Caenorhabditis elegans: one gene and its partner. The protein of the gene in region 1 purifies or fractionates together with the protein of each later gene. This does not show direct contact. Each region holds a gene or a part of one and is shown in the gene's direction. Other genes may lie near its edges.

Region 1 (3,292 bases):
GTTTTATATAGATTAGATGGTTTTTGAAACATGAGAATCCGAGAAAAACAAGGACATCAAAAAATGAAAACAAGATGAGAATGAGTTTTCGGTTATTGCTCCTTTGAGCACTGAAAATCATATATGCATAAAAGTACATCATATTTTCAACTTTTCATAACAGAAACTTTGTAGCTATCTTATGTCTGGCTGCTATTTAAAAAAAAAATCAAAATTATAAGGGTATTTTATGCAAACATTCAGTAAGCCTTTTGGATATTTTAACTTTTCGAGAAAAAACTGAATTTGTCTCACCCAACGTGATCAAAGCGGCTCCGATTTTTTCAAGGAAAAAAAATGGTTTGAAAAATGTCCGAGATCAATTGTTCTAGTTCAAAGTTCTCTTCTGTGTATTTTTAGTAAACATATTTCATTTCACTTAATTTTTATTTTGTATTTGTATTTGTATTTGATTGAAACAAACTTTAAAAAAACCTATTCTGTCTGAAAATAATTTTCCCCCTAACTATATAATTTTTTTAAAAAAGATTATTGTAGAAATGAATATAATCTCTACCAAATAAAGCAGTTAGATCATTTTTTAAGACTCCATTGTGCTAGAATGACTAAAAGGAAAAGCTTTCCATAAGACATAAAGTTTTTTGTGCTATTCAAAAATTATATATATATTTATCAACAAAAAGACGACTCTCCCACAATCAGTAGTCTTTAGAAATCATGCAACCAATTTAACTCATCCTTCATATATTTTCTCTGATAAGGAGAATAATAATACAAATCCAAGAAGAATTTATTTAAAAATTCACACCCTATCAATATCTTGTTTACCATTTTGAAGTGAGGTATGTGAACGAGAAAATCTGCAATAAATTAAGTACTTTATCGGTCAAAACTGGATACGGATTGGTGTTTGATTTGAAATTCTCGGACAAACTGGCTTTGAGATTCTTTATTAAATCCTTGAAGATCCCACTATACTAGTTGCTTATTAAAAACTTCAAACACCCACAACTAGATTTGATGAGTGCGATGATGCCTCGACAAGCAATCCAATTTAAAAGTACCGTATCAAATTATGTGAAATCTTCAAAAATTCATCGTGAAAAAACAGTTAAACATCTTTTAAACAAATTCCAAGAACTGTGAACCACAGGAAATCTGATTTCCGTGTTTGTCTTGAATTTTGCGAAAAAGGCGAAAGATTACGAGTAAAGATGGAAATAGATGTGTCTACTAGGAAATGAAAATGTTTTTTCAAATCAAATAAATATTTTCTAAGGGAATAAAAACGATTTTTGAGATAAATTGGCATTTCACGAAGAGCCTAAAAATTAAAGAGAACGATTGTTTATGTAATCATTGTGAAAAAACGTTCTAAAAGTCCAGCTTATGACAAACAATTTAAATTTTTAATTGTCTCCCTGTTTTAATTTCACCTGGAAGAATCAGCGTAAACTCCACAGACTGGTAAACCAATTAAAGACGTTCCGAAGTGGGTGCTAGCAGCTGATGGATCTTGCAATTTTCATATTGGAGTAAATTGAAAAATTATCCAAAAGCTCTAAAAATTGAAAAAAAAATCAAAAGTTTTGCCGTTCTTAATTTAATAAAATTATCTTTTCGGACCATCAAGTTCCTAGATGATATCATAATATCTTTTGAACCTCTCATTCCCACGCAAAGAAACTGCGTTGAACATTGTTTCGATTATTCATGATATATGTCAAAAGCATCTGTCATATTAAAATCCGCTTATGTCTCTCTGTCATCATTTGAACATGTCTGCTAAAATGTTTTTTATTTGCATTATCCGATTACCACCCTACTATCATTCATCCGATTTCCAGCAAAATCCTCCTCCCCCCAAATAGGCGGAGCTCGAGAAGAAAGTACTGAAATGGGCGGAGCAAGTCGTCGTCTGCTTTAATCTGGCACATGCGACATATAAAGGACTTGCTCTGTGGGTGACACCAACTCAGTTTCATACACCCTTTGCTTTCTTCTATAATGCGGATTTTCATCTATTTTCTTGTTCTTTGCAATGCAATCTGCACTCTAATGGCTTATGATATTCGAGATTTTGAAGTAATCCGACAGAACGCTGTTCGAAATATTGCAAGTCTAGAGAATATTCTTGAACAAAGACTTCCTTCTCACAGACATCATAAAAGTCCAAAGGTTTGTTTATTTTATTAATTATCTGAAACATGTTCTTACTTTCTCATACTTTCAGAGTCGACGAATTGGTGGAAACATTGTAATGGGTTAGAATCACCATATTTGATCTACTTTAATTGTTGCACTTCTTCACATCATTTCATCATTTTCCTGTTACAGTCTAAACGGGTCTCACAACGACTTCCCCTTCTCATCGGGTTCCATTTCTACTATATTGTAGTATAAACAGACCACTGTGTATTTTTTTTTGATTTTTTGATTTTTTTTTCTGTAAACTTAGTTAAGTTTCGATTAGTTTTATTTATTGAAAGAATAACGACAATAAATCGTTTAAAAGCTCATTGCATATGGAAGTATAAGTGATTTAAATGTATGTTGCGGGGATTGGGGAAAGAATTTGGAGAAAGGGGAAAGGAGAAATCGAATGAAACTATAAAGATTTCAAATAAAAAACACACCGGTACGAAATTAGTCAAGAATAATACATTATAGGTATTTATTTCAATTAAACTTTTCCTAAGAGCCAATTTCCAGGGCTAGATGGATCTTCTGAATGGAAGAATTGTTTCCAAAGAACATGGAATTTCTTTTTATCAATACTATTGATAAGTTGACCTTGATGATTCTGAAATTTAAGTTATTAAGGTTTGGAAACTTTTTGAACTGAATTATTTTCAAGTTTTAACTTTTAAAATTTCATATGGCACCCAAATAATTTATGAAATCATTAGTCTGGGCAATAGATAATATCAGGGAGGAAAGCACATCGAAAACGAGTTTAATTGAGATGCTACAGTTCTTTAGGTACAGTAGCCATGAAGAAATTCGGAGTTCGATAGAGCAAAGAGCCAATATGAGTTTTTCCCCATTTAAATCAATTACTCACTGTGAAATTATTGCTAAATATGATCCTTCTTGGTCTACCCACCCACTTTCATTAAATGATTTCAATAAAATGTTTGTATTTCACAATTGAATCGTATTTTTTGATTTGAATATTGAATTTAATGTTATTTGTCTGTGAATACCACCAGACTAAACGGAAAAGGTAAAATTGTATCTAAACTATAAAAATTGCATTATTCATGTGTAATTCCAACATAAGAAAACGTTC
Region 2 (4,327 bases), on another chromosome or scaffold:
TGTCGTTTTCTTTTCATTTTTTGTGTTAAAATTGTTTTAAATCAGTTTTCAAAAAAAAATGTACAAAATTTTATTTGTAATTTGGAAAATTGTTTCAAATTACTTTTTACAGAAAAATTCAAAGAAAATCACGAAATTCGCTAAAAACAAAGTTATTTTCTTGAAAAATGTAGGGAAAATAAATGAGCCACAAATAAAAAAAAATTATTTTTAAAATAGGTTTATATTGACGATTTCAAATGCTAATCACAAAAAAAAATTCGAAAAATAATCAAAAATCAAGAATTTCGCCAAAAAATTGTAAAATTATTTGAAAAAGCGCGCCGCGGGTTTGCAAAACGACGCTCGTTTTTTTTTTAAATTAGACAGTACTTTTTTTTACAAAAATATTATAGATTTTACAACTAAAAAAATTCCAGCTTGACATTGATTATGTGGTTGGACCATTGTCATTTTGGATGCAACAATTCTCTACAAAATCTCCCGTTTCTGGCACTGGACCACAATTACCATAAATAAAATATAATAAAATACTTGTAATTTCAATATATATTCACTCTTGTCTGTATCTTTTTTTTTTTGCTCCTAAACCCACATGTTTCCTATCTATTTACTTCATTTTAGTCATGAAACCTTGTTAAACAATTTGCTATATTTTAAGGTTTTCATGTAGATTTGTAGGTTTCCCACACCCAACAAGAAATCTGATTTTTATTTTTTGGAAAAAAAAATGTACAATTAAATTGAATAAAGAAAGTTGAAGAAGTCGGCGTACACGATGCTCTCCTCTTTTGTGAGCTCTGTCAGGATTGTGAAATGATCTTCATTTTCGTATTCCTGAAACAAAAATGGTCTCGACGCGACAAATTTTTGCTGATTGCGAAAATACGTGCGCCTTTAAAAAAAGACTACTGTAATTTTCTCGAAATTTCATAGATTTTTGTTGTTTCCTCGTGTTTTATCATCCAGACGTGAGATTTTATGGGGTTTGCGTCAAAAATACCATACATGGTCTCGACACGACGAATATGAAAAGGTGTGCGCCTTTAAAGAGTACTGTACTTTTGAAATTTGGTTTTTGCGGAATTTTAAATAATCTATTTTCTTAAGAATGTGTTTTTATCGTAATATATGAGTTTTCCAAATAAAATAAATATATTTTTAAATCTACAGTAATCTTTAAAGGCGCATATATCTGTTCTCATTTAGCAAAAATCTATCGTGTCGAGACCAGGTAACGTGGTTTTGGCGTGAAACTCGTTAAAAAAATATTTTAAAAATCGTGCCAAGACCCTAAAACGGGGTTTTTTTTTCGGTCCAAAATAGCTCAAACCTTGTACTGAGCATTTGCAACTTGACTAGAAAAATCCTGATTTTGTTGGTACAACTTTGGGGATTCCCGTCTGCAACATGCGATTAACACCGGGAACCGGACATGCTTCATAAGCTCATAATCACAACTACAAGTTTCTGCTTCTTCTGAAGTCAACCCAAGATCGTGACCATAAGTCGTGGAAGTCAGTTCTTGAATTTTGTAGATGCCCGCGCTGAGGTAGGCACCACTGATTCGGGGGTCATGGATCCGTGTTACAGCTGGAAATATTTTTTTCTTTGATTTAACAAAAAAAAAGCGCTATTTTTTTGCACAGAGTGAGAATACAAGAACTTTTCATAAATTTTATTCCTGGTATGCAAAATTTATCAATCGTGGCGAGACCCATCGGCGCAGCGTCGACATGCGCCTTTAAATTCTACAGTACTTTATTTCGTTTTTGCGCGGGAAATTTTGGATTTTTTATTTTAACGCGGGATTTTTTGCATTTTGGTTCCTGATTTCTTCATTTTTGTTCATTTTTTGTCTTCGAGGACGCGTCCCAAAATTTTGCTCTCTTATTTTCATTAATTCTATCGTATTTTCCACTTATTCCGTCCATTCAAACGTCGATGTCTTCCAAAAAAATAAATTTTCAGGTAGTCTCCGTACCAATATGAGTCAAAACACCGGTTCCTCTAACCTCGGTCGCTACTACGAGAGCCCGCCAACGGCGACGGAGGCTCGTGGCACATTCGGTGGTTGCTTCAACGCCAACAGCTCCACCAACATTTGGACGCCGAATCGGAAAGTGGACTCTTCGATGGGATTTCGGAGCTCCTCACCGACACCACAGAGCGCTTGGGCTCCGAATCGTCAAGGATTTGGAGGACAATTCTCCAAATGGCGCACTTCTACACCGATGACGACTCCGGCTCGTTATCCTCAACAGGCCGTTAGACTTATCGATTTGGAGAACAACGCCTCGTTCTCGAAGTCTTTGAAGTGAGTTTAGAGTTTTCCAGTGACTTGGAGCCTCAATTTTTAAAACTTTCAAAAAAATAATCAAATTTTCAGCTCGACCACCCGCAGCCACAAATGCACACTTCCAATCTGGGCTGGCGACGGCGAGGGAAATGTCTCGGACTCGGTCACTCTTCAGGATGTGCTCGCCAACGATGCTCTCGTGGAATTTGCCACCGATAAGAATGGATGCCGATTCCTTCAGGAGCATTATCCAACGGAGAACGACAACGACGTCCACCAAAAACTCTTCCGTAAACTGGTCGAGGATCGTGCCATCTTCTTGTCGCTCTGCTCTAACATGTTTGGCAACTTCTTTGTGCAACGTGTCTTGGAGTGCTCGAACACTGAGGAGCAGGAGATTCTTACGGAGCACTTGGCTACTGATTTGTACAATCTCTGCCTTGACAAGAGTGCGTGCCGCGTCATTCAACTGGCTATTCAGAAGCTTGATGTTCATCTTGCGACTCGTTTGTCGTTGGAGCTCCGTGACACGCACCTCGTCCGTCTCAGCATCGATCAAAACGGAAACCACGTGATTCAGAAGATTGTCAAGACGCTTCCAGTCTCTTCGTGGACTTTCCTCGTGGATTTCTTCGCCGACGACGACAATCTCATCCACGTTTGCCAGGACAAATATGGGTGCCGTGTCATTCAATCGACCGTCGAAACTTTGTCGACTGATCAATATGCTCAGTGCTACCAGCATCGTGTCATTCTTCTTCGCAGTTTGATGGCTGGAGTCACTCGTAACTGCACCCAGCTGGCTTCCAACGAGTTTGCGAACTACGTGGTACAACACGTTATCAAGTGTGGAGATGCGTTGGCTGTCTACAGAGATATCATCATTGAGCAGTGCCTTCTGTATGTTTTATATAGTCAAATTTTCAAATGTATTTTTCCATTTCCAGGCAAAATTTGCTCTCAATGTCACAGGAGAAGTACGCTAGCCACGTGGTCGAAGTGGCGTTTGAATGTGCTCCATATCGCCTCGTTGCCGAGATGATGAACGAGATCTTCGAAGGATATATTCCACATCCGGATACAAATCGTGATGCTCTCGACATTCTGCTCTTCCATCAATATGGAAACTACGTTGTTCAGCAGATGATCCAGACTTGTGTTCTCGGTCAGAATGCTCGAGATCAAAAGCAATCGGAGATGTACGGCATGTGGCTCGAGAAGATTCACGGACGAGTGATGCGAAACGCCCACCGCCTCGAAAGATTTTCGTCGGGCAAGAAGATTATCGAAGCGCTCCAATCAATGTCCTTGTACTAGATACACATAGGCAATTTTTATTCATTTCCATTTGAATCCTAACCCCCACCATCACCCAACTCACGTGTATACTATTATTATTTTTATTATTATATTGCTAGAAAATTGTAGAAAGAGTATTGCAACCTCTTCTATATTATATGAAGACCCCGGCCCCCGTTTTGCACAATAATTGATATAAATTCTGTGAATAAAGAATTTACAAACTTCCAGATTTAATTGCAATATTTTGTTTAATTATTACCTTGAAATGCGAGGTGTGCTCCGACTGAGTGTCCTCCAATCACAATTTTCTTCGCATTCTTGAACTTTTTCAGAGCAAACTGGAATTTATATTTTAGAACATTTTCTGAAATATTTAAATTTCCCGCCAACCTGAACTCCTTCCAAAGCTTCAACGATCGTCTTGCTCAATACATGATCCTTGTTGGCATAGTCGTATCCCACGCTGACTACAGTGTAGCCAAGCTTTTGTGCCACGTGGACGACAGCCAAACATTTCTTTCGGTTTCCAATCTGGAGATTTTCTGTTTTTGTGTGCTCTCCACATGTTACGAGAACACAAAATTCGGAGAATGCGTATTATGTAACATATTTGACGCGCAAAATATCTCGTATCGAAAACTACAGTAATTCTTTACATGGCTACTGTAGAGGTTGTGTCGATTTACGGGCTCGATTTTCTAAATGAATTTATTTTCTCCATTTTTT

Evidence for each region. The genes of interacting proteins can lie anywhere in the genome.
Region 2: the proteins of T09A5.14 (region 1) and puf-3 fractionate together in Caenorhabditis elegans (co-fractionation; one large-scale study listed by BioGRID). This does not show direct contact.

What each region holds. Positions count from the first base shown.
Region 1 is NC_003280.10:7,830,384-7,833,675, forward strand, and holds T09A5.14 (Neuropeptide-Like Protein), read left to right. Parts: upstream 1-1,970; 5' UTR 1,971-2,007; coding exon 2,008-2,178; intron 2,179-2,233; coding exon 2,234-2,269; 3' UTR 2,270-2,520; downstream 2,521-3,292. Other genes in the region: cex-2 (Calexcitin-2), read right to left, coding at 2,684-2,803.
Region 2 is NC_003282.8:13,509,807-13,514,133, reverse strand, and holds puf-3 (PUM-HD domain-containing protein), read left to right. Parts: upstream 1-1,971; 5' UTR 1,972-1,988; coding exon 1,989-2,317; intron 2,318-2,389; coding exon 2,390-3,199; intron 3,200-3,246; coding exon 3,247-3,616; 3' UTR 3,617-3,827; downstream 3,828-4,327. Other genes in the region: m7GpppN-mRNA hydrolase dcap-2, read left to right, coding at 420-515; afmd-2 (Alpha/beta hydrolase fold-3 domain-containing protein), read right to left, coding at 739-837, 1,334-1,593, 3,861-3,939, 3,992-4,132.